Linked DNA regions of Notamacropus eugenii. The protein of the gene in region 2 purifies or fractionates together with the protein of the main gene of each other region. This does not show direct contact. Links are inferred from orthologs where the notes say so. Each region holds a gene or a part of one and is shown on either strand. Other genes may lie near its edges. The genes, in order: RIN1 and ABL2.

Region 1 (14,687 bases), about 450 Mb from region 2:
AAGGATAAAGAAGCTGCGGAGTGTCCTGAGGTGGGCAGCCAGGATGGTCAAGGTCCCTGGGTCCAAAATGTAGCTGGTGGAAAATAGGGAGAAAAGCCTTCCCCTGCCCCCTCCAGTCCAAGGCCCAGTCTGGGCACAGGGGCCTGAGGCACTGTGAGGACCAGGCAGATTCTGTCTTGCAGCAGGAATGAGACTGTGGAAGGAGCAGGACCCGGGTTTGGGCAGGGTTAGCCTAGTTCTCGTTCCCATTCTTCTCTGTAGGGTACAGATAATAATAGCACCCACCCCCCACAGGTGTGGTGTGGACCAAATGAACTAATCTAATTAGAGGTGGCCCCCGTGGGTCAGGGACTAGGCCTGGAGTCAGGAAGACCTGATCCAGCCTCAGACACTTACTTGCTGTGTGTGATGTGACCCTGGGGAACTCACTTAATTTTTGTCTGCCTCAGTTTCCTGAGCTGGAAATGGAAATAATCGCTCCTACATCCCAAGGTTGTTGTGAACACTGTAAAGGATTTGCGCTGTCCCCAGCACCCAGTCGGTGGTTCTTTTTTTCCAGCGCTCTGGCAATGTTATTTGTTATTAACCTTTAAGGGCACCGGAAGAGCTAATTTAGGGTCTAAAAAGGTCTTCTGTGGAAAGCAGCTTCCTGTAACTCATCTGCATGGAATTTCCTTGGGTCGTGTGGGCCCCTGGGAATCTGGGCTCTAACTGCTTAGATGGGGGAGCCTGGGGGGAGAGGTGGGCAGTTCGTAGATTTCCCTTTCAGAGAAGGACAGCTGGACCCCTTTGGACTTAGACATTTCTGGTGAGGGCCTGGGACTCTTTAAATGGGGTCTCACTTTAGAGTCCAGCTTGATTTTGCCTTCCTTGGTCTGTGGTGTGGCTCAGCCAGAGGCTGGGAAGGTAAAGATTTGATTGTTTTGGGCTGGGCTCACCTTCTCCCAGGACAGACTGGAGGCTGAGAGCCAGGGTCATCGTCCCCCAGCCTGGATCCCCTGGCAGGAGCCTCAGCTCCAGGCTGGTTTTTTCCTCCCTGCCCTGTCACCACCTGGTGCACCACCTGGAGGGTGGGATAGAGATTTCTTTGTTTGACCTTCATGCCTCCCGACTCATCTTTACCCCTTGAACTCCCTCTCTCCTCTCTGCCTTTGCCATTGATGGCTTGCCCCCCACCCCCACATCTCTTACCTTCCCTGGTTCTCTGGTGTCTCAGACACCCCTCCCCCTCACCTGTACATGAGTACACATTATGTACACTTGAATGGGAGCTCCCTGAGGGTAACCCTAGATGGGGAAACTGAGACCCACCAGAGGTGACTTGATTAGCCCAAGGTAAAAAGGACATAGATTTCAACTCAGAAGGGAGTTTAGTCCAATCCTCATTTTACAGAAAAGGAAACAGACAAAGAGGGGCAGTGACTTGTCTGAGTGTCTGAGACAGGATTTGAGCCCAGTTTTTCCAGATCCCAAGTCCAGCCTTCTGTCCAGTACTCCCTGCAATCCCTGTGAAATGGCAAAGCCAGGCTTTGAAGCCAAGCCTTCAGACCCCATGTCTAATTGGGGCACCCTGGAAAGTGCTGGACACGGCCCCCAGAGAACCTAGTCCTGTGTCCTCTTATGAAGATTGAGGAAACTGAGAGCCCTACCCACCCACCACCCACCACCCAACCCCCAGGGCAAGTGACTCCCTGGCTACTTTGCCTTAGCAATGATACCCACAATCATGAAGGTTTCCTTCTGCCCTTTGGCCCTTACCTGCCATGTGACCCTGAGCAAGGCCCTGGCACTCTCTGAGGTGCCAGCATCATGTTGTGCCCACCGCAGGTTCATTCCTGGCTTCAGAGTTGGGAGGAGTGGAAACTTGGGACTAGAAGAGACCTGAGTGACCTCGTCCAGTCTTGTTATTTTACAGAGCTAAATTAGTCTTAGCCCACGGTTCTGTAGGGTTTTACGGCAGGCAAAGTATGGTCCCAAAAGATGCCCTCTCTTCTCAGAGTGACAATGCCGAGCCAGCCCCTGAGCAAAGAAGCCAAAACCTTGGAGGGGGATGGGGACAGGGATGGGGACTCTGCCCCAGAGATGAACGGGCTGGAAGAGGAGGAGGAAGGCAGTGAGGACGAGCAGAGTGCCAGCCAGACAGAGTCGGATGGCGAGAGCTCAGGTGAGCCTTTGGGACCCCTGTCCTCACCTCCACCCCACCCCGCACTGCTCCTGCTGGGACAGACTGACCGGCCCTGTGTCCTGCAGAAATGGATGATGAGGACTGTGAACGTCGCCGCGTCGAGTGCCTCGATGAGATGTCGGACCTGGAGAAGCAGTTCTCAGAACTCAAGGAGAAGTGAGTTCAGGGAGCTGCCTCCCTGCTCCCCTTTCAAAGCCTGGCATTCCTGGATCCCCTGAAGCTGAGTTGACACCCCGCCCCCCCAGAGGCAGGGGACCATGCTGGTGCAACCTTGCCATGGCATGATAAGAGGGCTTGGAAGACATGGGGCTGAATCCTGACTCTGCCACTAACTTTCTAGGTGACCTTGGGCCTCAGTTTCTCTCTCTGTCCAATGAGATGGTAGAGGTGGGTGGCATTCTTTGACTCTTGTTTCTCAGGCTGTTCAAGGAGCGACTGAGCCAGGTACGTTTTCGGCTAGAAGAGGTTGGGGCCGAACGGGCACCTGAGTACACCCAGCCCCTTGGAGGACTGCAGCGAAGTCTCAAGATTCGAATTCAGGTGGCAGGTGAGTGCCCTGACCCTGGGCCCCTGGAAGCTGTCTCTCCCCTTCCCAGGGGAGCTGTTCCTTCTCTCTCAGGCCCTGTCCCCACCACCACCTTTCTTGAGGTACCATCTGCCTGGGAGGTGCCACCCACCGGTCAAGATCTGCTCTTTCTCTCTTCCCCCCAGGCATCTACAAGGGCTTCTGTCTGGATGTGATCAGGACCAAGTATGAATGTGAGCTTCAGGGAGCCCGGCAGCACCTGGAGGTGAGTGGGAAGGGGGTACAGCAGAGCCAGAGGCAAGGGCACAGGTGCCCCCATGCCTGACCGCTGGCTTCCTTTTCAGAGTGAGCGGCTGCTGCTGTATGATGCCCTCCAGGGGGAGCTCCAGGAGCGGATTCAGCGCCTCGAGGAGGACCGCCAGAGCCTAGACATCAGCTCTGGTGAGGTGGGGGAGGGGGAACCTGGTAGGGTATGGGGTGAGGGCAGCCTGCTGACTCTCCCTCTCTGGCACAGAATGGTGGGATGACAAGGTGCACCCGAAGGGCAGCTCAAGATCCTGGGAGACCCTGCAGTCAGGCAAGAGGAAGAAGGCCCCGCTCGTCTCTGGTATCCTTATATCACAGGGGCCCTGGTGGAGGCCCCTCGAGGCAAGCCAGTATACAAGGGGCCCAGAGCCCAAGAGGCAAGGAAGGGATTGTGCCATACTCTGCAGGGAGGGCAGGGCTCACACCTGGAAGGAATCTTAGAGGCTCAACATTCTGGGCCTCCTGCTCTGCACAGGTTATGAAGGGCTGGGCCCAAAGGACAGAAGCCCAGCTCCAACCTGGGGCACCTGCACATCCTTCCTGTGAAGATGAGGTGGGGCCCCTTAGAGCTTCCATTCTGAGGCCCTTTTCAGGTCCTGGCTCTGACACATCCTGGCTGTCCTTCCCTGGGCAAGTCAGTCACTGCTTCAGGCCTTAGGTGGTCCTTCTGGGCTGTGTCAACATCAGGGGAGGGAACTGGAATCACAGCCCTGGCAGTTGTGGGGGTTATGCCAGGTGACATCAGAGCACTGGAAAGGAGAGGGGATTCACCTGGCACACATTAGGTACCTGCTGTGTGCCCGGGACTGCAGGCCCAAACTGTCCTTGCCCCTGGGAGCTTTAGGTCCAGAGAAAAGCCCCACAAGAATGTTGGAGTCAGATAGGGATGGGACCCCTGGGCCCGGGAAGGAGCCAGGATTTCTGTAGTGGGGTGAGAGGAGGCTGGGCATGGAGGCTGGAGACACAGGCTCCCAAAGTGGAGGCTGTCCCACTGGAAGGGTCCCTTTAAATGCCAAGCAGATAGGGAAGTTGTACTCAGTCCAAGGCAGTTGGGAACCACCTAAGCTGGGAATGGCCTGGGCCATGGGAGGACCCACCCTGGAGTCCTGTGGAGGCCTGAGACCCAGGGGGAGGCTTCAGGAGTCCAGCTTAGAGTCCAGAGGTGATTGAATAAGGAATGTAGCCTGAGAAGGATGACTTCTGAGGTCCCTGAGGCCTGGCCCTGATTGGCTTGGGGGTGGGTCTCTCTATACAATGATGATTATTCAAGTGACCTGGAGGATGGCAGAGGTGGGGGCAATGCCAATGTGGGTGGCCAGGCCTAGCTTCTAGTTTCCTTGACCCACGCCCTCTCCAGGTCCTTATATCGTCTACATGCTGGAGGATGTGGACATTCTGGAGGACTGGACAGCCATTAAGAAGGTAGGCAGATGAGGAGAGCAGCCAGGGGCAGGCGATGGCTGCTTTGACTTCTCTTATCTGGTGCCCTCCCAGCAGGGGCCTTTAGGAGAGGCCGCCTGGGACAGTCTGCTAAGGGCAGACACAATCACTGCCCTGGGGAGGGTGCAGGGAGTGGCAGCAGGCAGAAGGGAGGCTTAGATCAGAAGGTAAGGCACCCTGCTCCACTCCCAGGGGCAGAGTCCAAGTGTCCTTTGGAAAGCAGGCCTGGATGGAGTGGCTGGAGTTCGACCAAGGAAAGAGGGCCTGCCTCAGAGTCAGGACTTTGCCACCGCTAACTAGGTAGCTGTCATCATCCACAAATACGCATTTGGTGCAACATGAGTGCCAGGCACTATGCAAAGCCCTGGAATCCCTGCCCTCCAGTAGCTCCTGGTCTAGTGAAGGCTAAACAGGGTGGTTGGAGAAGGAAGACCCTGGAGCTCAGGGTGACCAGAGAGACTTCCCATAGGAAGGTGGGCTTGTGCAGAGATGGAGAGGGAGCACCCCTGTGGGGCTGGAGGGAACAGCCAGGAGGCTAGAGTGAAAGCAGGAAAGGTGAGTGGGGACTTGGAATGTTCTATATTTGCTCGTGCTAGTGTTTGGAGGGAGTCTGGAGTTAATGGGAGGGGGGGGTGATACGGTCAGACTTATGCTTTAGGGAGATCACTGTAGTGGGCAGAGACCTGAGGCAGGCAGACCTCCCAGCAGGCATTGCAGTAGTCCAGACTGTGTCAGGGGAGAGAAGGGTGTGTATTCTGGGAGGCTGAGAAGGCACAGGCCCTGGCTATGGAGGTCTGTTGAGTGTGTGGCATGCAGGGGGAGTCTAGGCTGAGAGAGAGGATGGTGGTACTCTCTACATGAGGTTGGAGCTCAGCTGGCTTAGGGCTGGGTGAATCCAGAATCAGCTGAATGGAAATGACCTTTGGATCCATGGGAACTGAGGATGGGTCTTCAGGGCAGGTGGGGCTCTCCCTGAACGGCCTCCATTTTTCCAGAAGTGTCTAAGCTTGGGGCAGGAGCCATCAAAGTCTTGAAGAGGAATGGGCAGGTCTGAGGAAGCTGCCCTGATGTGGGGAAGAGCCAGTGGAGGGTTAGGGGGAGGTGCCTACTGGAGATGACATCCCTTGTAGCAGGCCCAGTCAGCTCCATTTTGTGATGTTCACTGGTGCCATAGGTGGGAAGGCTGCAGATAGTAGGGGAGCTGGGGCTTGGAAAGGTGTGATCAGCCATAGGCAGTGGGTGTGGAGTGGAAGTGATCAAAGGGTCAAGATAGGGAAGGAAAGAGGGTATAGGGGGGCAGAGCTCAAGATAGGGAAGGAAAGAGGGTACAGGGGGGCAGAGGCCCCCTAACCCAAGGCTGAGGGTGTGACCTCTGTGCCCCATGTGGAGCTCCTGACGGGAGGGCAGGGGAGGGGTCAGCTGTCCATCTGCTGTCCTGCCTAGAAGCCCCTTGGAAGGCCATTGGGGTAGGAATCCAAGGCCCTGGTTCAAATCTCATCTCTCAAGTTTGCTTCTTGGTACATCCCCTAATCCCTGAGCCAGGAAGGACTTGGAGGCAGCATGGCAGTAGGGTACTTTTTCTTCTCTCCCCCAGGCTAAAGTCGCTGTGTCCCCACAGAAGAGGAAACCTGAGGGTAAGGGCAGAAGTGACCCCTTCAGGCCTGCCCATCACCCTCTTCACAGGGTCGAGGAAGGGGGTGGTCCTGTGGGGAATGTTAGCTCCCACTGCTCAGGGGAAGAGGGGGAGGGGTTTGTTGGCTCTCTGGCTGTGACCCTGGCTAACCACCAAGCAATCCAACCTTTCCAGTGCCACCTTGAACAGCTCTGATCCTCAAACGAGGATGCCCAAAAGACTCTGTTTGAGGCTGCTGGCCCTCCTTCCTGGGGCATCCACACAGCCCTGCCAGTCCCATTCTCCAGTCCCACCTAGACATGCTTCCCTCTCCTTCAGAAGGTCCACCTTCTTGGCCTGGGGCTACTGCCCTGCCACCTAGGTGGGACTGCCCATAGGTGATCTCATGTCTTCTAGCCCCTGAAGGGCAGACAAGCTGCACCCAAGGCCTGACCGGACACCTGGGGCTCCTGGACCGGCTCCTAGGCCCTCCAGCCACCAGATGACTCCATGGTCTGAACTCTACCACCCTTTTCTCCACCGTCTGGTCTCTTGACAGCTGGGATGCCACCGGGCTGTAGATGTGGGGCTGACTCAAATGTCCTGGATGCCCATCCTCAGACATGGGGGCCTCTTGGGTCTCCTGTCACTTTCACTCAGAGCCAGTAGACTCTTAGAATGGCCCAGTGTCAGCCAGCCTTTGCTAGCCCAGCCCCTAGGGCTCTGGAAGCCATGCTGTTGACCCAAGGCTGCCAGGGGTAGGGGCCCAGGGCCAGCTGGCATCTCTGCTGTTCCTCAGAAGCTCCTTGAAATGACATATTTTTGGATTGAGAACGAAGGAGCCCAGGTTTTCTAGGGTCCTGGGAATTAGAATCATGGAATCATAATTAAAATTTAATAATTAAAACAGCTCTGCCCTGCCTCTCGTGTACCTGTCCCGCATTTCCTCCCCTCCTGCCAGGAGACCTTAATGAGGCCTCCCGCTTTGGCAGGGTAGGGAAAACCCACCTTCTCCTGGAAGGGCATTCCCCCCCCCCCCCCGCTGGGAGCAGGGGACAGAGGCCCTTCAAGACCCCAGTGCCTGTGGGCCAGAGAAAGGTAGTGCTAGCATGGTCTGAGCTCTCTGCCAGCAGGCACCCTGACAAGCCGGGAGCCCAGGCAAACCAGGGATTAGAAATCTGTAAACTGGATTGGGAGCAGATCTCGGATTGACCTCAGAGGTCAGACAGGCTCAGGAATCCTGACAGGAGGGCTCGTTCTTGCTCTCTCCTGTTCCTTCCCCCTCAGTATTCCTCACAAATCAGAGGGGAAGGGACTTTAGGAAGCACCGGGTCCTAGGAGCCTACCAGGGCATCTTGTTCCAGATGATGAAAGAAGTCAATTGCCCACGCTCACACCAAGTGCCACAGAAAGGCGCACAGTGGGTAGAGTTCTGAGCCTCCAGGCAGTCAGGATCTGTGCTCAGATATGCCCGCAAATGGTCACTGATGGTGTCAGTCATCTAACTTGGGTCTGCCTCAGTTTCTTCAATTGTAAAATAGGAAGGGATATTTGTAATATGCTCAGAACAGTACCTGGCACATGGTAGGTGTTTAATACTTGTTCTAATCCCCCCACCCCAAAAAAGGGTGGAATCCAAACCCAGTTCCTCTCACTGCAAGCGCCTGCTCTTGCCCACTTGCCCCTGGCGTCTCTAACTCCAGTGACCTGTGAGAGGCCCCAGCTGGAGGCAGGGCAGGGCAGCTCAGGAATGTACATCCTGGGAGGAGTGGCTTCCAGTGTCCCAGACCTACCTGGCCCAGCCCAGCTGGATGGGACCCAAAAGGAGCTGGGTGGGAGGGGAGAAGGCAGAGAGGCCTTAGCTGGGCTGTGCACTGGTGACCTCAGAGCTGGGCTTTTCCCATCCCCCTTTAATGCTGTCAGTGCCACCCCCAGAAAAAGGGGGTGGTTACCATGGCAACGATGTGGGGGAAATGCAGCCTCCTCACCATGGCAACCTAAGAGCTACAAGAGAGATGCTGGGGGGAGGCAGCATGCAACCATGAGGGGGCACTCTCGGAGGGAGGGGACTGAACCCAAGGATGCCCCATGGGTGAGTCACCAAGCCCTGCGTGGGCCCAAGGCAGATGCCCAACTTAACCCGCTCCTGTCTGCAGGTTTGGGGGCGGGGAGAGCCTGGGATGAGAGAGTTGAACCGAGCTGCTCCGGGCATTGTGGTCCTGGAGCGCCTTGGGATGGTGAGCAGCTGGTGCTAACTGGAGCAGAGGCAGCTGGCACTGCGTGGGCCCAGAAGGGGTGCTGTGGGCAGAGAAGAGTTAACATGTTGGGGTGTGCCAGGGCTGAGCTCCTCTCAGGAAGTGTTACTCACTGGAAATGTGACTGCGCCTTCGCTCCGGGCCCTGGATTCTTAGTCTTGAGAGGAGGGAAAAGGGGCTCTGGAGAGCCCTGTGCCAACCATGGAGCTGTCTGGGGAAGCCAGCTCTGCTTCCAGGTAACTCCCCGGAGAAAAGTTGGGGAAGTTGGAGGCTGGGAGCTCGTGTGTGTCCCTGTGTGTGTGCGTGTGTCCCTGTGTGTGTCTCCCTCCCCACTGTGTGTGTGTTCCTGTGTGCTTGTGTGTGTGGGCGTGCGCTCATGAGACTGGGGTGAGGGGAAGGTTAACATGCAGGGGACAAGGAAGAGGAGAATACACAGGAGGTGGGGAGAGGAGACTGGACAGGGAAGGAAACTGAGGCAAGGAACACAAGTGGGAAGGAGAGCGCCCCCCCTCCCCAACCCCAGAAGAATCAGCTCCAAAGGCTCAGGGAAGGTCTGGCAGCAAAAAAGAGGCAGCTGTTTCTCAGACCCATGTCTCTGTCTCTTTCTTGCAGCCTGGCTGGAGACCCCATCTATGATGTCCCAGAGGCCAGGGGAGAGCAGACTGGCCAGCTCCAGTGCCCCGGGCGCACAGTGAGCCTGCGAGAGCGGCTGCTTCTCACCCAGCCCGTGTGGTTACAGCTTAGTGCAAATGCTGCAGCTGCCCTCCACGTGCTACAGAGGGAACCCCCTGGGGTGAGGGACGGTGGGTGGCCATGGGCCTTCCTCCAGGAGGCTAGGAAGGATGGAGGAGGAGGGAGACAAGAGGAGGCTGGGGGTATGTGAGGGAGAGGCCCAGGCCCCCTGGCCCTCTGAACCTCCCCCCTCCCTCACCAGACGTTCCTGGTTCGGAAGTCCAACACCAGACAGTGTAAGGCCCTGTGTGTCAGGCTCCCCAAGGCCTCTGGACCATCCTTTGTCTCCAGCCACGACATCCAGGAAACCCCTGAGGGTGAGGCCCGGGGTGGGGGAGGGGATGGGGGGGCTGGCAGCCTGAGGAGAGGGCTGCCTCTTCCCAGAACTGACACCTTCCCTTCCTTGCAGGCGTCTCCCTGGAGGGCTCTGAACTCTCGTTCCCAGACCTGATCCAGCTCATCTCCGCCTACTGTCACAGTCGGTGAGCAGACTGGTGCCCCCTACCCCCTACTCAGTGGGGAGCTCACAACATGCAAACCTGGACCCGACTCCCCCGCATCCGCCTCCCCTTCTCCCCATCCAGGAAGCCCCCCAATCCCGACTCGGACTCTGTTTGCAATAGAGCCTGGGTTCCCCTAGATCCTGACTCAGTCTCCTCTCTGCCATCCAGAGACATCCTGTTTCTCCAACTCCAGCTGCCCAGAGCCATCCGCAGGGCTACCACCCACAAGGAGCTAGAAGCTATATCTCATCTGGGAATGGGTCTGTACTCTTCTGCCCTTCTGAGCCACAGAGCCAGAGAGGAGGGTCCCAGTGGACTCAATCTCCCCCAGCTCCCTTCTGGGGGCAGTTACCCTTGGAAGAGACCTAAAGGGCCATCTCTGAGATGGTCCAAGCCCCTCATGTAAAAGATGGGAGGGAGATGGAGAGCCATGGGGCCACTGGGATCACCGAGCCCATCTGTGGGCTGGCCAGTCCCAGCCCCTTGTGTTACAAATGGGGAAACTGAGGCTCAGGGTCTCTGAATTCTCTTTTCCCCAGAGTTCTGGAACTCTTCTCTGAACAGCAAGGCCCAGGGAGGCCTAGCAGTCCCTCCCACCAAGGCCCCACCGATTCCCCGCCTGAAACCTCGGTCCCCAGAGGAGCTGGACCAGGGGACCGGAGGAGCCCTCTGCTTCTTCAATCCCTTGTTTCCTGGGGATTTGGGCCCAGCCAAACGGGAGAAATTCAAAAGGAGCTTCAAGATTCGGGTGTCCACTGAAACCTCCAGCCCACTGTCCCCCCCTGCTGTCCCACCGCCCCCCGTGCCGCTGCCCTCGGGGGGTCCTCCTGCCCAGACTCAAACTGAACCCCCTCGCAGGCTGCTGAGAAGGGAAAGCTCAGGGGGCTACCGGGTCCCAGGGAGTACTGGCCCAAGCCCAGCTCCTCTACCCTCCCTCCAGGAGGTGGACAGTGGCTCCCCCAGCAGCTCGGAGGACGAAGGTGGCCCTCCTGGGAGGCCGGGCTCATCCCCTCTCCCAGGGCGGAGGCGCCGGCTGCTTCGGTCCATGAGTGATGCTTTCTGTTCCCTCCTGGCCCCCGAGAGACAAGTGGCCCGAGCTGTGGTGGAGCTGGCCCGGGACAGACAGACAGTCACTGGGCAACTCGTACAGGACCTGCTGACCAAGGTGCGGGCAGGGCCTGAACCCCAGGAGCTACAGAAGGTGCGGGAGGTGCTGAGCCAAGCACAGACCCTGATGGTGGCTGAACTGGCCCAAGAAAAGCTATTAGCTGAGGAGAGACTGGGTGAGTGGCACCCCCTCCAGCTCTGAGACCTCAGGCTCATCCTCATCCCCATATTTCTCCCCTATTTCCTCAGTTCTGCCCCTCCCCCATGCTAGCTCCCCACTTTCCTACTCATTTCATCCTAAATGCTCTTATCACACTCCCCTGCCTCCAGCACATAGAGGGGCAACATGGGACAGTGCGTAGGACCTTGGCTGTAGGAAGCTCTGGATTTAAATCCTAGCTGAGCCTCAGTTTCCCCCTAAAGCGTTGGATCAGGAGCCTCTCCAGGCTCTAGGAGTGCTAGCTCTGTGACTCTACAATCCCCCTTCCCTCCCTGGCCCATCCCCTCCCTCCTTGCCCCCTCCCTGCCTTACCCTCCGGGATCTTTCCTCTTGCCCCTTTCCAGAGCTGGTGATAGAGAAATCTCTGCAGCGCTCAGTGCTGAAGCCCCTCCGGCCTCTCCTTCTGGCCCGCCTGAGGCTCCGCTTGGCTCAAGATGGATCCTTGGGCCGGCTGGTAGAGGGCCTCCAGCTGGCCAGGGCTCAGGGGCCCAGAGCCTTGGGAAGCTGCCTCAGTCTCCCCTCCCCATCTGAGATGGAGCGTATCCGGCAGAAGCTGCTGAAACTCCTCCAGGGCTACTCTCCCACGGCCAAGGTCACTCGTCTCCTGCAGGCCTGCAAGCTACTCTACAAGGCCCTGAGCAGCTGGGCAGGTACCTGCCTGAAGGGGCAGTATGGAGGACAGGGCATGTGGCATCTTATATGGGAGGGAGCTTAGAATGCATGACAGACCATGTCAGAGCCAGGAGGGACCTTCAAACTGAGAACTGGAGCATCCGCTTGCCCACTTCAAAGTCTCTGGGTCTCAGTTTCCCCCAAACCATCCTAAAAGGGACCACAGTGGCCCTGGGGGGAAGGAGAGCTGTCTTCCTTTGGTTTCCTGGCCTGAAGTCAATGGCCTCTCCTCCCCTACCTGCCCCTAGCATTTCTGGCTTCCAAGGAGGCCCCCAGTGCAGCTTTGGGCTGAAGGCTCAGTTGTCCAGAGATCCCATCCCTCTCATCCTCCCAAGACCTTAAAATCCAAACAGTGGAGGGGTCCGGGCTGGGCTGGAACCCCCCTTCCTTGTGGAACAGGGAGATGAACAGAGAAAGACCAATAGCCACTGGGGACTAGGGGACACAAAAGAAACACATCCCCAGGTATGCCTGAGCCAGAAGCTGGGGTGAGGCTGACCCAGGAACCACCCGGCCCCTGCAGGGTTTGTTCCCCAGCTGTAGTCTGTGGAAAAGACAGAAGGGGAGGCTAAGGGTTTCTCCCTCGGCAGGGGAGAATGCCGGGGCCGATGAATTCCTGCCTCTGCTCAGTGCTGTCCTGGCCCAGTGTGACCTCCCAGACCTGCTGCCCGAGACTGAGTACATAACAGAACTGCTTGAGCCCAGTCTGCTCACAGGGGAGGGTAAGCACCCCCCTCCTCATTCCTCCTCTCCCTCCTCCCTGTCCTACTCCCCCAATGCGGCCACCTGCCTCGACTAGCTTCTGTCCCATACCCTCACCTGAGACCTTCCTGTCCTCAGGGGGCTATTGCCTCACCAGCCTGGCAGCCAGCCTGACCCTGCTGGGGAGTTTGAGCCAGGCTGGCTCACAGCCCATCAGTCCATCCCAAGAGCTCCAACGCTCCCTCAGCCTCTGGGAGCAACGCAGACTCCCTCCCACCAGGAACTTCAAGGTAACCTGAGGATCCTGCCAAAGAAGGGCAGTGGATCAGAGCTGGGAGGGGCCTTAGAACAGGGAATGTCAGACCTGGGAAGGAGTTTAAAACAGATGTTAATGCTGAGAGGGACCTTGGAACATGGAATGTCAGCTGAGAAGGACCTTGAAATAGATAATGTCAGAGAATTGGGAAGGAATCAGAGCACAGAATGTGAGATCTGGGAGGGCCCTTAGAGATGTCAGGGCTGGGAGAGGCTTTAGAACGTGGAATGTCACAGCTGGAAAGAACAGACTTTGTAAGATGAGTCTAGACTTGGATTCTGCAGACCACCTTTGACACTAGCTTAGTGACCCTTCATGAATTCTTTTCCTGATGGGTCTCAGTTTTACCCTCTGTCAAATGGGGAGGATAATATCTGCTTCATAGAGTTATGAGGAAATCTGACAGAGTCCTAGAAATGGAGCTCTCAGTTCAACCCACCTCTCTCTCTCCTGTCCAGCCTGTCTCAAGCCCCCTAGCTGCTTCCTCACCCTCTCCCACCCCCCCCCCCCCACCTGACTACTCAGTCATGTGTCTCCCTTTTCTCCAAAACATGCTCCCAAGCTTCCAGGAAGACTCAGAGAGGAAAGGACACACAAAAAGGACACAGGAAAAACAGCCAGTCTGGCAGTCTGAACTTGACACCATCTCCCACCTGATCAGTGACCAAGCAGGGTCAATGCCAAGGCCTTCCTGTTGGGGGTGGCTCAAGGCCTGAATCAATAAGAGGAGGGATGGCTTGACAGGCAGGGGGGACAGCCAGGTGCAAAGTCTCCAGGTAGGAGATGGTGCCAAAGTTCAGACATCAGACATCAGATCTTTCTGACATCAAGGGCAGCTGTTTAACAGGGACCAGGTTTAGAATTGTTAGTGCTGCTTCAGATGTGAAAGAATTCATTTAGTCAATTCTCTCCTACCCAAGGGGAGCTCTACTGATGCTGCTTATTATTAGGCTAGCCCTGGAAGGAGGGGTGGAGGGGAGACAAGGAATTTCCTGGCTCAGGGTAAGGGGGGCATTTTGTGGTATTCCAAGAGAGGGGGAGACTTGAAGGTGCCAGGGAAAGAGCCCCTCAACCCTTAGGGCACCTTTAGAGGATTAACTAGCAAAAGGGAAGCTCACCTTTGTATTCACATCAGTAGGGCAGTTATTGTTAAACCATTAGAGCAAATCGTGTTTCGATAGCGCTTTCTGGCTTCTAAGTACTCGAAGAAGGAAGGTGGGCTCAGGGTTACTATCCCCATTTTCTAGATTAACAAACTGAAGCTCAGGAAGCCAAATTCACACAGCTCAGCGTTGTCCTGTGTCCCCTCCTCGGGTCCTCCTCCCAAAGAAGAAAGCCTTCTTTGCCACCCCTCCCCCACAATATCCTAGGACCCAGCCCTTGGCCATTGGTCAGGTGTCAGGGTCTCACTGACCCTGGGTCCTTCCCCTTTCCCAGCATCTCCTTCGGGTGGCTTACCAGGACCCCATCAATGGCTGCACCTCCAAAACCTTGGCCCTACCCCCGGGCTCCTCGGCCGCCACGCTGTGCCTGCTCTGTGCCACCAAGTTCCGGGTGCCAAAACCTGAAACCTTTGCCCTCTTTCTGCATGATGAGAAGGGCTCCCGCCGCTTGGCTCCGGACACCCTGCCCCATGACCTCTCGGGGCCCGGCTACCTCATCTACCGGCAGGTGGAGGGAGCCCCGAAGGCTGAGAACCAGGGACCCAGAGCTACGGAGGAGGTTCCTGGGGCAGCAGCAGGGTCAAAACTGGAGAATCAGAGCCCAGAGGGAGGTGGAGAGAAGGGGGGAGAGACCGAGGGAGGGGAAGGGGAGGGGGTGGAGGCAGGAGGAGCTGAGTCCGAAGCCGGGGGAGTCCATGAGAAGTGACCTAAGGCCCCACGCCCCTGCTGGTTAACCCTCCGTGATCCCTCCTCTGCACTCACAACCACTTTTTACACCCAATTTGGGGCAAAGAAGTTGCCTGGGAGGGGGGAACCAGGCCTAGAGACCCCCAGAAGCCTGGAGAGCTGAGACTGCTGCTGAATGAATAAAGCTTTTACTGAGCACTTAACTGTGTGCACAACTCCGACATTACTAAGAGAAAAATCAGCTAGCGCCTGCCCTCAGGG
Region 2 (15,110 bases):
AATTTTCTCCTCCCAACTATTTTAATCTGCACCCATCCCTCCAAATTTTCTTTATTTTCTGTTTCCTCAGCTGGATTTCAGAACTGCCAGTATGCAGAAACTCTGCCTTCTTACATCTTACTAACCCTGAAGTGGATGCAGTGACATTGCCTTCCTTGCTATTCCTCCAAGACACTCTATCTGTTCATTCCTGCATTTTCACTGACTGCCTGTCCCCCAAGCCTGGAGTTCTCTCTCTCTTCATTTCCATCTCCTGGCTTTCTTCAATCCCAGCTAAAAATCCTACCTTCCATAAGAAGCCTTTCCCGATCCCCCTTAATGCTCATCTCTTCCCTCTGTTGATTATCTCCAATTTATCCTGCCTGCATACACACACACACACACACACACACGTGTATGTATATACTATATGCAATATTGTCCTATATCTACAACTTGCTTGTACATGCCTCCTCCATCATGCTATGAATTCTTTGAGGGCAGACACTGTCTTGTGCTTGTCTTTGAATCCCCAGCACTTAGCGCAGTGCCTGGTACGCAGCAGGCTTACTCAATAAATGCTTATTGACTGACTGATAATGATCACAAGCATTCATGTACGCTCTAAGGTTTGCAAAACGCCTTACCAATGTCATCTCATTGGGTCCAACGCACAAACCTGCGAAGTAGGTGCTATCTCCATGTTACAAAACAGAGGCTCACAGAGGTCAGGTGCCTTGTCCAGGGTCACTGTCCTACTCAGGTCTTGCCGATTCGAAGTATGGACTGGCACCCCCGGCTTGGCACGCAGTGGGCACTCAGCAAATGCCCGTTGCTTGCCCACCCTGACGCAGGTGGAGGTCAGGGCCGGCCGCCCTCCGAGGAGTTGGAAGTGGAGGAGGACTGCGTGGGAGGCGCCCGTGGACCTGGAATGGAGGGGTTAGAGGCCGGCCAGGAACGGAGGACCAGCGCTCAGGTGGAGAGGGATGCACGCAGCTGGGGGCAGCCGAGCAGGCAGGGGAGGACAGGCCCGGGAGGAGCGGTGGGCGGAGACTTGGGCGGAGCCACGGCAATAGGCCCCGCCCCCATGTAGCGGAGGTGCCGGTCGGGGGAGGGGGGGGGGGGAGGGAGACGCTCTGTCCCACGCTCCGCCCGTGCTCAGTGGTTAAGATGGCGGCGGCGGCGGCGGCGGCGGCGGCGGCGGCGTTGGGGGCGCGGGGCCGCCGGAGGGGGAGGGAACGCCGGAGCCCGTGAGTCGCCCGCAGCCCAGTGGAGGCGGCGGCCGAGACCCCGCGCGCGAAGGCTGCTCGGCCGGGCCGGCCGCCGCCGCGGCGAGCGAGCTAGCGAGCGCCGGGCGGGGAGCCCCGAGGCCGGAGCCGGGAAGGGAGGAATGTGACCGGGGGTCGGCGGGGGCTCGGGAGTACGCGAGCGCGGGGATGGGGCAGCAGGTGGGCCGCGTCGGGGAGGCGCCGGGGCTCCAGCAGCCGCAGCCCCGCGGGAGCCGCGGCAGCAGCGCCGCCAGGCCGGCCGGGCGCAGGAGGGATGCGGCGGGGCGCGCGGAGGAGGCCGGCTTCAATATCTTCACCCAGCATGGTGAGTGAGGGAGGGGGCGAGCGGGCGGGGCGCGAGGGAGGCAGCCCCGGGGACCCCCGGCGACCCCGCGGAGGAGGAAGGAGGGGGAGGGGGAGGCCCGGAGGACGCGTGAGTTGTACCCGGGGGATGGACAGATGGACTCCTAATCCAAGGGGGGCGAACGAGGTCAGCAGATGAAACGAACGTAGGTGTCAGGAGGATGGGGGCGCAAGTCCGCCAGCTTCTAGGAACCCCAGTCTTGGAGACTCCCCCCCCCCCCCCCCCCCCCCCCATTGATCCTGGCTGGAGGTTGTTCGCATCGCTCCTCCCGAGCGGGCAGCGTTCGGGTTTTGTCTCGGTGTCTCCAAGCCCTCAGCACGCAGTAGGCGCCGAAGCCACGACGTGTAATCTGCGAAATGGAGACATAAAGAAGGGGGAAAGGCGCATCGGGCGCCTGGAGGCATGAGCCATACGGGACTTGTGCGGCTCCGAGCCCCACAAGCCTGGAGGGAGGGAGGAGAAGTAGGGGGCTGTTTCCCGAGGAGACTTCATTGAGGGACGGGTTTTCTAAAGAAGCCACTGTCGGTTCCAAGGATGGTTGGTGGTATGGATGGGTTTTTGAATGAGAAAGGAGATGGGGTCTGTATCCGGTGCTGCTGTACAGGGCTAACAGCTGTACTGATCTTTCCAGGGTGGGCCTTTGATAAAGGTGTCGTATGGGTTAATTTCTGTTGAGATGATTCCATATGGAGGAAAGTGTGGATAAACAGTTCTCAGGAAAATATTGATCGAAGTACTTTTGTGAGTTGTGCACTAAGGTTCTGCCGTCTGAAGCTTTCTTTCTCAGTGATCTCATGAGATCCCTTAGGTTCCATGATCATGGCAGGGACTTTGAAGCTGATAAATCCTGCACTAGTTTCTCTCCTGAGCTCCAGTCATACATTGGTCACCTGACCATTGGACGTTTCCCATTGGATATTCGAAAGGCAACTTAAAAATCTTTGTCTCAGTTGAGAAGTATTTATTGAGCACCTGCTTGTGTTCAGAGCACTGGAGAGAAAAAGACAAAATCAAAACAGTTCCTGCTCTCAAGGGGTTTCCACTCTACAGGGGAATACAATGTGCAGTATATTTCCTTATTCATACATACGTATACACATACATACATACGCACACATACAAAGTAGTTTTGGTGATGAAGCATTAGGAAATGGAAGTCTTTGCAAAAGCCTTTTTTTTTTTTTAAATCAAAGCATGCCTTTTTCCTAACTCCTCACTTTTGTCTGGGATATCACCATCCTTCCAGGCATCCTGGTTCACAACTCTGGAGTCATTGCATCACTTTTATTCCTCCCTCCACCCCCCCATTCAATCAGTTGCCAAGTTTTGTCAGTTGTTCATTTAACTTTATCAGTTCCTCACATGCAACCCCTTCACACCACTCTTACCACAACTACTATAATTTAGATGCTTCTCTTCTTGCTTAGGCTGCTGCTATAGCTTTCTAATTGGTCTCTCCAATTTGTATTCTACACAGCTGCCAAAGTGATTTTTCAAACACAGGTTAGACCATGTCACTACCCTCTTCAACAAGATCCCATGGCTCCCTAGTTCCTCTAGGACAAAATATAATCTCTGGCATTTAAATCTCTTCATCTCTCCCCAGTCTGTCTTTACTGACTTCTTACACATTATTCTCCTTCACACTCTATAGTCTTAACTAAAAGGGCTTATTGGCTACATATACCTTGTTCGAGACATTTTATTAGCTTTTGCAGACAATTCCTCATGCCTCTAATGTACTTCTTCATTGCCTCTGCCTTGAATCCCTAAGCAACTCCCTTTAACATTTAGCTCAAGTGCTGTCCCCCAGGGAAGCCTTTCCTTGTCATTTGTTCTCTTTCCCCAATTACTGGTGCCCATGTTATTTCCCATTTACATTGTATACTGTATTTGTTTATGTAGTATGTAGCACATGTTAGTACTCAATGAATAATTGTTGATTGAGAAATAGATCTAACCTAAAGACATGTTCTTTCCCCTTAAGAAATTTTCAGTCTAGCTGGGGAGATAAGAACAACACATGTGAAACAGTTATAGAATAATTTAAGATCAGTGTTGAGAAGAGAGATACAGAAGGTGGGACCTTAGTTGGGCTTTGAAGATGGTGGAAAGGAGGAGGGAAAAGGGAAGAAGGCATTTTAGATGAGAGTAAAGACTTAGAGGATGGATGTAGTGTTTGTGGGACACTGAGGGTGAAGATTTTGTTTTGAGTGTTACTGGAGAATGTGGATGGTGAGGTGGTAGGGTGCAACCATACAAGGCCTTCAAAGCTAGCTTAGAGTTGATTTGGTAGCAAAGAACATTTGAAAATTTTGGAGGAGAGGACTGGCATGATGTTGAATGAGTTAAAATGCACTTAGTAAGTTCTTACCACAGGTGAAGACATATAAAGTTAATGCCTTGGATACACTCAAGGAGTCCACATTATGGTAGGGGGAGACAGCATGTATAGGAGTAAGTTGGAAAGGTCCTGTGATCTTTAGGGTTCAGCAGTGAAGTAGATGGTCATACATTTTTCCTTAATATCATTTCCATTGATGAAACTGTGAGGTTGAGCTGTTTTGACAGTTCTAAGGACTTTGAGAATTATCTTTTCTGAGTTGTCTCTAGCTCTGGTTGCTGCAGAACCTGCAGAAGTAATTTCCGGGTTACCGTTCTATACAGATTAATTCCCTGGGTGATGGCTGCAAGAGCTAGGTTAGAAGCAGGGAGTGTGAAATGGGGGGCACAGCTGTTTACTAGATCTTTTGAGCACAAAGTCCCCCCAGGGTCTGAAGAAGGTGATAGTTGATGCAATGGCAATAAATGTTCTCTTAGAATTTGTGACAGAGGAAAGGAAGGTTACACATTCAAATGATTGTCTCAGATTTTTTTTTCTGAATGACAGTTTTCACAGGGTATAGATATATAGGATCCTATAGCATAATTTATTCAGTGCAAGTTAGCTTAGAAAGGTTGGAATGCTCTCACAATTAAAATAGCAGCTCACAGTTATATAGTACTTGACAGTTTACAAAGCTCCTTCCTCACAACTTTATTGAGAGGGCAAAAATCTTGTTGATCATAAAGTAATGTAAGAAAGCTTATTCTGACAATGCTATACAGAATGGATTGGAATTGGGGGAGATGAGTTGATGAGGTCAGCTATAGAGGGTTGTTGCAGTAATCTAAGCATGAAATGACTAGCATTGGCCTGACTTGGTGACAGTGAAATGGAAGGGAAGGAGTATGAAAGATGTCTCAAGGAAGACTAGTAGGGATTTGGTAATTGCCTGTAGAAAATGAAAATAAGAATCAGTCAAACCTGATTGTAAAGTTTCAAGTCTGAGTGACTAGGAGAATAGTGTTGCCATTTTCAAATCCAAGTGGTTTAACAATCATATTACTGAGCACCTGTTTTGAGGGAGGCATGACATTCAACCCTAAGGGTTTTGTACAAAGATACAATACAATATATAAGATACTATATATATATATATATATATATATATATATATATATATATATATATATATATATACACACACACACATATATGTGTATATATATATATATACATATATATGTATATATATATATAAAAGACATTTCTGTTTTCAAGGATTTTATAATCCAGTAGGGGAGATAAGACATTCACAAATAACTATAACAGAAAATGGACTGTGATAGGTGCATGAGAGCTATTTTCTATAGTGCTATGTAACATTTGAGAATAGAGAGATACTAACTATCCTAGAAGTTGCAAGTTGATCCTTAGGAGGAAGGGGGGGAAAGGAACAAGCATCTATTAAGCACCTGCTGTGTACCAGGTGCTGTTCTAAGTGCTTTACAGTTGTTACCCCTTTCTAAAGGGAAGAGAAATATTGTGATACTCAATTGATAACTCAAAAAGAGTAGACAGATATGGAAGAAAATAAAGAGCCCTTATTTAGAAAATTGAACATTTCATGTTAATTCTGAATTAATCTGCAGTACTTTCTTATTATGCTTTAGGAAAAATAGTGAAATAATAGTTGACATTAACTTTATAGACCTGGAATCTACAATAAAAAATTCTCAAACTATAACTGATACATGAACTGCTATTTAGAGTTAGAACTATATTGAAAGAAATCTAGATACCTATCATTTATATAGCTATTGTTCTAACTTCAGATAGCAATCTTAATCATCTGCATTCTTCAGTAACACCCAAACTCTTTACCATAGTTAGATACTTCTCATTGTCCCACAAACACTACATTCATCCTGTGACACACACAGTTCCCCTTATCTAAAATGTCTTCCCTTTTCATCTCCTTCAAAGACTGACTAAAGTACTACTTTCTCTGACTACTCCAAGTTACTTGTACTACTCCAGTATACTTGGATGTATGTAAAATTTATATATAATATTATATGTACATATGTGTGCACTCATACATATATACACATACATCTATGTGCATGTGTGTACACGCATATACACACACAGATGGGTAGACAGCACATCAGAGGTGGTAGTTAGCTCTTAGTCTGTTGAATTAACCAGAAATAACCAGGAAAAATGGACAGTGTATGGCAATGATAATGACAGCCAATTACCGTTTTGTGTTTCTTTACTTTGTTTCACACACTATATACATTGTTACGGTAGATTCCTTAACATTAAAATCCTCTACTTCATTGTGACTTGGCATTCTCTGGGTTCTTGAAGGTTATAGCAGTAGAAATTAAGGTCTGGCAGATGCTGCCAATTTGGAAAGTCTTGGAATATGGGATGTATAATAGATTGTGTATCTCCTTTCCATTTTAGCTAAGTTTGCATAGGCTTATTATATTAGATTATATTAGATTGGCAACAGGGTAGTACCTCTTATTAAACACAGCAAGTTTTTACCATCATCTGAGATGTCACCGTGGGTAATGATCTGCATTGGTGGATGAATTGCAGGGATTGAAAGTAGTCGAATATACTTCCTGATTTTAGTCTTTCATCCAAAATGTTAATTCTTTTCATGTGCTCTAGATAATACTTAGGAATACTAGAACAATAACAAGATTGTAGGATTTTAGAATTAGAACATATCTTGGACTTCATCTAGTCCAATCTCTAACAAAATTTATACAGCTAGGTGGTGGTATCGCTACAACTGAAACTTTACTTGGTTACTTGCCACTTGCCCTGTCAGTCCCTTCTGTGAGCATCATATGTTGTGAATCATTGTTGGTATTCAAGAGGTAAGAATACCACATGACTTTTCAGATTTTTGGTTATCAATGGCATTTTAAGACCTTGAGTTTTGTGTCCAAATCTGTGGGGTAGTATTTTATCTTCTTTATTTAATTTGATGATTTTCAGAACAACTCTGGTGGGTGAGTACTATCATTATTCCCATTTTATAGATGAGGAAACTGAGACTGAGAAAGTGATTATTTAAACTCACATAACCAGTATAGGTTAGGGGCAGGACTCAAATCTTGATTTTCCTATCTCCAAGTCTGGTATTCTATGCACTGTGCCACATTGTTCCCAATACAAATGAAACAGTATTTTCAGGTAGTTTCACTTATGTAATGAGCTGTTTTCTATAGTGCTATGTAACATTTGAGAATATAATGACCTATGTCATTATATTCCTCAAGGAATAAATCTCCAGAGAGCTAAACTTATCTGTATGAAGTCAGCTGGGTTTCTTTACTTAAAAACAACAAACTTTGTAAGTCATGCATAAGATTTGTCTGCATTTCTAACTATATGACGTTAAATTGTTTTTCAGTCATATCTGATCTTCTGTGATGCCATTTGGAGTTTTCTTGGAAGAGATACTAGAGTGGTTTTCCATTACCTTCTCCAGCTCATTTTACAGATGAGGAACTGAGGCAGACAGGATTAAGTCACTTGCCCAGGGTTATGCAGATAGTGAGTGTCTGAAGCCAAATTCGAACTCAGGAAGAATCTTCCTGACTCCAGACACAGCATTCTATCCACTGGGTCATCTAGCTGCCCCATATTATATGACAATACTGCAGTGTATTTGTATTGTATACATTGTATTGTATACAAATACACAACTTGTATTTATATTGGACGTAAATAGGTCTGACTAGACAAAATTGTGTTCATCTTCTGCTTTTCCAGGTTTCTCTTCTTGTATCCTTTATCCACACCATGATAGAGCAAGCGTTCTTCAAAGTCCTGATGCTTTCCTTCATTACCTATCAAAACTGGGGAAATCTGTTATTATTTATGTTTAATTTATGGTAAACTGATGACCACTAAAGTAAGTAGAATGATTTTTGTAAATATGTTATCTCCTTTGGTATTTGTGACCTTTTATCTATAATTGTAGACTGAAAGGCTTTTTCTTTTAAGACATTTTGGCCATGAGTAGGCAAGTGGGGAGTTTATGAGTACAGAGGTGGGTGGGGGTTAGGGAGAAGGAGAGGGTCCGTCCTTAGAGAAACTCCTGAATTTATACCCAGGTTTCTTCTGTTGCCTCCAAAGGCAAACTAGATTGTCTTTTTTTTTTTTTTTGTAAGTGACTGGGGAGTGGGACTAAAGTATATTAGGATCTCCTTCATGGGATGGTCTCATAAATCTTTTGGGGAAGATGACGCAGGAGTTCTGTTAGTAGACGAATCAACACCCTTGGAGGCCTAGGTGAGAGTAGTTGTAGAGGGAAGAGGTACTTGGGATCCTTGATCATCAGTTTCTTCCAGAGCCTAGAGCTGACCCTTACTAGCACAGAAATTTTTCAAAATCAATATGGTGTTAAATATGAGGATTTGGGGTATGTGACTGTTGCATTCCATATTTCCAGTATCTTTGTATATAAAGATGATACTGCTACTCAGATGTACTTCTTGAGCCCATTATCATAGTCCGGGGGAATCCATTCTTTCTGTCAGAAGATTGAACCTTGGCATCATAGGCATTGTCCTTGGACCAGGAGAGCAATGGTTATTAGCTGAATCTTCATTTAGAAATTTAACTAATTAGTGTGTTATATCTAAGTATTCTTTATTGAAAAACATTTAAGTAGTTTCATTTTCATTGGTGAGTCACACTTTACTCCTTATTATTATTTGAGGAATACCATTTAGAACCTTTAATAAAGGCTTAATGTAACCTTACTTACTATATTGAAATCATTGAACTAATCCATGCCTCCTTAGAAAACTGGGGGTAAAATTTTTTTGATTGTAGTGTTGTAACAATGTAAAATAAAGCTTGTCTTGTTTTGTCAGTGGAAGCACTTTAGAAATCTGCATTCTGATACAGTTATTCCTATCAGTGCACTGATTGTATGGTTATTTCTGCACTATCTTCTTTCCTTTATAGATTGCAAACTCCCAGAGGTAGGAGCCCTAGCTTATACAGATCCCTGTGTTCCCCAAAAGCACCTAGCTAGCATTGTCCTTGGCACATACCAGAGAGTCTATAAATGTTTGTTGAATGAGTGTTTGCTTTTTTAAAATATCCAATGTAGCTTTGATAGTTTTTGAAATTGAAATTTGAATGTTTTTTATCACAACCTTAATTGCAAAGACATCTTTATACAAAGTGATAAACAATAGCGGTTAATATATAAAAATATTACCAAGTATTCAAATGTTTATCTGTCTTCCACTGCCCATGTCACTAGGGGTGAAAGGGCTCATTAGTTGGGTTGGGTTTTCCTTTGAGGATATTGTTTGGTAACATTTTAAAATAATGGTGATAGAGGTAAAAACTGATGTACTTTAAAAAGTTTGTCTTAGAACTTTTCAAGTAGTTTTTAGTATCACCTGAAACTGTAGGTGATCTTTTTGTTTGTTTGTGAAATAGGTAACTTTATAGGAGTTTTTATTGTAACGTTACAGAAGTTGTGAACTTTCTTTAACGTTTATGCCAAGAGGAATTGCATATGTTATTTGTTTGTGTAGTTTGTATACATTTGTTATTTGTGATTTATGTTTAATACACAAATGTTACTCTATGGTTTCTGCTAATCAGATTTCAATGAGCATGTTAACTCTGCAGGTAAAGAGACAATCTTTTGAGTTCCTGATTGCTGTTAAATTAACTTTCTATGTTTGTATGTGAAATGTTGATGATTCTTGTGGTAACCCTTGGTTTATTGGTCACTGAATCTTTGCAGTCTGTGAATGTTAATTGCCAATAATGAGCTAATTAGAACAAACCTTTATTCTGTTATATTGGGTTGGTCATCTAAATAAAAGCATAGAGAATACGCTCTCAAATGTAATGCTTTGCCAGATTTAGAATTTTAAAAATCTCAATTTGAGACTCTTCTGACTTGATTCTTCTTACAGTTCTTGCTGAAATAGTGCTGAGTCTGCTGTGGTGCTGCAGCCGCCTCCATAGTGAATGATGCCAGTATATTGGCTTTTGATCCAGCAGAACACAAAGCTCAGCAGGACCAGGCCACTTGTGTTCCTGGTTTGCTTTCCAGGAAGGAGGAGTTTAGAAACCTTCTACTTTGTGTGTCAAGGTCAAGCAAAAACAGTATATACAAATGTAGTTCTGATAACTTGCTCTTTCAATATGTCAGATCCAGCAAACTGGAATGAATGAAGGTTAATTTTGTCTTTAGCATTTTGTGACCGCAAAGAAGCATTGAGTAAACATTTTTTCTAAAACTAAAACAACAGCCAAGAGCTAGCATTAGAAACACAGCAAGCATAATTGGTCTAAACATCCACGCCTTATGGAGAACACAGTTGATTCCTAAAGTTTTTGTTGATTTGTTGGAGTTATTTTCTGTCAAGGCTTTTATTTTCTTAAGCCTGAGATCTTAAAAAAATACCTCAAAGGATGAACATGCAAATTGACCTAAGGACATTGACTGCTACTATAACTCTTTCCACTTGCATTCTCTTGGTGTATTGTATTCAGGGTGAGACATTTTATTTATCCTTAGACTTTGAGTTTTAGCTATTAATAATTGTGACTAGCACTTGGGTTACTTGCTCATTTACTGCTCTCTACAACATCCTAAGTATTTGTGACTCAAATGTAAATTCATTAAAGAAATATAGCTGATATATTTGAATAAGACATTTTGAAACTGAAAATTTTTGAATAATTCTCAACACATTTTGATTGAGGATGCAGAAAAGGAAAAGTCACTATTAATCGTTTTCCTAAAAAGTAAAATGTATATGTGGTTTAAAGTGACTTACATTACTTACCTTGGTTACTGAAGAATTCAAGAAACTAATTATATGAAGGAGTATAGAAATGGGAGTCATGATAGTTGAGTTTAGCTTTGCTACTGCTGAGCTGGATGACCAGAGGTAATTCGTATCTTTGGGCCTTAGTTTCCCCATCTGTAAAATAAGGACTTTGGATTGGATGTTTTTTAAGAGTCTATGAATCTATAATTTTTAGCTTTAGCCTTTGTATGGGCGTTACCTTGATGTTGATAGATTTAGTGTCAAGATCTACATCACTGATTTAAGGCCATTGAACTTAAGGCCATTTAGCTAGAAATGTGAGCACAGATTTTGGCAGCTATAAACTTTTTTATGTATTGGTACAAGAACTAATTTTAACCCTATAGAGTTGTGTTGCTGGAGAAATCAAGGCTCTTGAAGGCCTGGGTGGGAGTAGTTGTAGAGGGAGGAAGAGCCTGGGGTCCTTGATCATCAGTTTCTTATAGGACCTAGAGCTGACCCTTGACCATATTTTCTCTAGAATACAATACACTTGTGTGGAGCTTTTGGATCAATATATACTTACAACATTTCTGATAGCTTACTGGTAACTTACTGTAAACCCAAATTCTAAGTGTCAAATGATGAATAATATGAAATTGATATTAACATTGGGGAATGCTTTTTGGAACTCATCATTATAAAATATTCTCAGTTATCATAAAATCTTACATTCAGCCAGCTAAACAGGTTTTTAGGTAGAAAGACCATTGATCAATATAGGCAGTTATTTTATTTACTTTAAAACTCAGATTATAATAGTAATACAGCCAAATTTGTACTATATAGGTAAATTCCACCTGATGGTGTTCATCAGTTCTTCAGATGCTGGGTAAAACAATGAAGGGAACAGTGCTATAGGAACATTATTTTAGCTATGACATAAGTAATATGGTAATGATGAGCAGACCACAGTCAACTTTTTAGCAGTTATGACTGAGATTATATCTGGGATATGATCGCTGATCTTTTTTGGATAAGATCAGTAATATTATAGTTAGATTTTTATGATTTTATGGTAAGGCTTGGTTAAAATGTTTTAATGGTATTGCAAAATGATTTTGGTCAAATCACTTTTAGGTTACAAACTTCTGAAGAACTCAAAGTATCTTACTTGAATTTCTGTAGAGTCATTAAGAGAAAGTATACTTTTCTCCATTTTAAAATTGAGAATGTTAACAGAAAGAAGTTTCTTTACTAGTATTATCTACAATTATAGGTATAAGGTAGTTCTTTTAACTCAAGCATTTTAAAAATGCATACTGTATGCAAGTTATTGTGCTGGGTACTAGAGATAGAAAGACAAAACTAAAAGTCTCTATGAGGGAAACAATGTGTACATTTAGAAGTGTATACAAAATGTATGTAAAGTAAGTACGAGGTAATTTGAGGAATGAGGCTTTGCAGAGATCTCGGAATGCTAAGGCTAAGAGGGATTGCATTTCAGGAATACATTGAGTTAGTCTTCCTATAGGCAGAGAGATAGGGCGTAGGATTTTGTATGTAAGAATTAATAAGAAGGGCCTTTTGGCTAGATCTTAAGGTGAAGGCAGATAAAGCTGGGAAGGATGATTGGAAGCAAGTTTTGAAGGGATTTAAATATCAGAGGAGGATGAATTTAATCCTATAGGTAATAGGATGTCACTGCAGTTTATTGAGCAGGGGAGTGACATAGTTAGACCTGTGCTTTGGGAATATCACTTTGTCAGCTATTTGGAAGATATATTGGAAAGAGGAGAGACTGGAGGCAGGGAAACCAGTTGCAGGAAGCTATTGCAATAAGACCATTTGAGAGGTATGAAGGCCAGAATGAAACTGACTAATATTTTGAGTGGAGAGGAAGGTATGGATGCAAGAAAAGGTGTGTTGCACTGGAGGTGTAGAATTGATGAGACTGAGCAGCTGATTGGATGTGTAGCACAAGGGAGAGTGAGGAGTCAAGGAAGAATTGTATCTGGAAAGCTGTTGGTAACCTTAGCAGAAATAGTGAAGTTTGGAAGAGGAATAGATCAGGGAGGGAGAGGTAATGACCGCTATTTTGGACATAATGAATTTCAGACTGCTATAGGACATCCAGATAGAAATGTCAGGAGGCGGATGATGATATAAGCTAAAGGTTAGTGGAGACTAGGGCTGTACATACAGATCCAGTGGTTGTCTACATAGAGATGGTTCTTAAACACTTGGGAGCTGATGAGTTTCTTCAGAGAGTGAAGAGAGAAAAGGGAAGGCCCAGGACAGATCCTTTGAAATAATTCTGCTGTTACAGCACATAAGGTTGGTGATTGAGTGAAGGAGACTGAAGACACAGGTGGACAGAACAAAGAGAGCAGGGTCACAGAAATATCAGAAAAGAGAGTATCCAGGAGGAGAGGTTGGTTCATCAACAATTTTAAATACTGAAGGAAGGTTAAGAAGTATGGTTGAGAAAAGACCATTAGATTCAGCAATTAAGAGGTCATTAGAACTTTGGAGAAGAGTAGCTTTAGTGGAGTGGATGGTCAGAAATTAGTTTGCAGAGGTTTAAGGAGGAATGAGAGGAGGGTCATTGAAGGCAACGAGTATAGATGACTTATTCTAGCAGTTTGTGAAAAGGAGAGATATAGGAAGATAACCTGGGGGAGGGGGGAGCAGAATGAAAGGAGCCAAGTGAGGATATTTTTTTATGGCTAGTGGAGACCTGACAGTTTTTAGCCAGCAAGGAATAAATCAGTAGATGGACAGGGAATAATTGGGGATAGGATGAATGGTACAAATAGGAAGGTTGGCTTTGGTGGAGACCACCTTTCCATCAGAGATTAGAGTAAAAGAGGAGAAAAAGAAATAAATAGAAAGAAAATTAAGAAATAATAGAAAAAAATAGGTAGGAAAGACAGTTTGTGTTATACAGGAACAGGAGTTTATAGGGGAATTGCCCCTTTTTTCTTAGTAAACTGAGTAGAAGTCTGCTGAGAAGGTAAAAGTGATGTGGAAAATGTGAGGATAGATGAGAAGGTGTGGAACAGTAGCTGTGAAGATCGCAATAGAGAATCAGCTATGGAGGAGTGAAAGAATTGCCTCTATGAAGCGAGGGCATAGTTGAGATTAGATAACAGACTTACCGTGAACCTAGTCAACATTAGTTATGTAGCTGGTGGCTTGAGTGCAGAGTGCTAGATTTCAGATTATAAATAATCCTGGATAAATCAGTTCTTTCCTTCTACTTAGCTGTGGATGAAATGAGAATCATATTTACTAACATATGCGTGTTATATGAATGATAGTATAATATTAGGTGTTGTTTTTCTTTTTATAATAGGACTTATCTATCTTTGAACTACAGGTTTAGCACTAACTGAAACCTTCTTCTGTAAAATGAAGATAATAATTGCAGTAACTCCCTCACATGATGGTAAGTTCTGAAAGTGCTCTGAAAATCATACAGTGACATATAAAAAAGTGAACCATCGTTATCAGTCAGTGAGCATTTATTAAGTGTTTACCATGTGCCAAGCCCTGTCTTAAATACTGGGAATAAAAAGAAAGGCAAAAAAGAAAAAAAAACTCCATAGTTTTTGTTTTAAGGAGGACACATTCTGATGGGGGAGACAGCCTATAATATCTAGGTAAGCCTAGAGAAACCTACAAGATATTTGCAGAGTATATGAAGAAAATGTGAAAGAGGAAGGCATTAGCAGCTAAGAAAGAGGGAAAAGGCCCCCTAAGAAGGTGAATTTTGAGTTGAATCTTAAAGGAAGCCAGGAAAACAAGACAAGTGAAAGAAATTCTATGCATGAGTGCAATTCAAAGGCAAAGGGACATGGAATGACATTTTCAAGGAACTGCAAACAGGTCAGTGTCACTAGATTGTAGAGTATGTGGAAGAGAGTAAGTGTAAGAAGATTATAAAGTTAGGAAGGGGACAGGCTATGAAGAGATTGAAATGCCACAGGACTTTATATTTGACCTTACCAGAAATAGGGAGCTAGTGGAGCTCTTTGAGTCAGGGATGTTACATAGTCAAGACATTTTTAAAAAATCATCTTGGCTACTGGTAGAAGATGTCTTGGAGTGGGGGAAACTTAAGGCAGAAAGACCAATTAGAACTCTGTTTCACTAGTCCAGAAAAGAGGTGATGAAGGCCTAAACTAGGGTCATAGCTATATTAGGAGAGAAAACAGGATGTTTATGAGAGATACTTTGAAGGTAGAAATTACAACATTTGACAACCGATTGGTTATGTGTAGTTTGAGTGAGAAATTGACCGACATTGAGTTTATAGGCCTGAGTGACTGGGAAGAATGATGCTGTTGATA

What was found.
Region 1: the proteins of ABL2 (region 2) and RIN1 purify together in Homo sapiens (co-immunoprecipitation; 3 studies listed by BioGRID and IntAct, counting the BioPlex papers as one, with this or other methods). This does not show direct contact. The link is inferred for Notamacropus eugenii from reciprocal best matches to the Homo sapiens genes ABL2 and RIN1.

What each region holds. Positions count from the first base shown.
Region 1 is NC_092873.1:18,934,548-18,949,234, reverse strand, and holds RIN1 (ras and Rab interactor 1), read left to right. Parts: upstream 1-7,694; 5' UTR 7,695-7,819; coding exon 7,820-8,560; intron 8,561-8,936; coding exon of another isoform or gene 8,937-9,117; intron 9,118-9,258; coding exon 9,259-9,373; intron 9,374-9,465; coding exon 9,466-9,538; intron 9,539-9,727; coding exon 9,728-9,819; intron 9,820-10,098; coding exon 10,099-10,842; intron 10,843-11,230; coding exon 11,231-11,536; intron 11,537-12,148; coding exon 12,149-12,280; intron 12,281-12,398; coding exon 12,399-12,550; intron 12,551-14,013; coding exon 14,014-14,445; 3' UTR 14,446-14,629; downstream 14,630-14,687. Other genes in the region: BRMS1 (breast cancer metastasis-suppressor 1), read left to right, coding at 2,005-2,164, 2,251-2,341, 2,605-2,732, 2,897-2,976, 3,056-3,152, 3,226-3,318, 4,375-4,439, 6,052-6,091 and 1 more. UniProt on the Homo sapiens protein: Ras effector protein, which may serve as an inhibitory modulator of neuronal plasticity in aversive memory formation. Can affect Ras signaling at different levels. First, by competing with RAF1 protein for binding to activated Ras.
Region 2 is NC_092873.1:466,388,419-466,403,528, forward strand, and holds the start of ABL2 (tyrosine-protein kinase ABL2), read left to right. Parts: upstream 1-7,861; 5' UTR 7,862-9,967; coding exon 9,968-10,091; intron 10,092-14,137; coding exon 14,138-14,206; intron 14,207-14,214; exon of another isoform or gene 14,215-15,110. UniProt on the Homo sapiens protein: Non-receptor tyrosine-protein kinase that plays an ABL1-overlapping role in key processes linked to cell growth and survival such as cytoskeleton remodeling in response to extracellular stimuli, cell motility and adhesion and receptor endocytosis.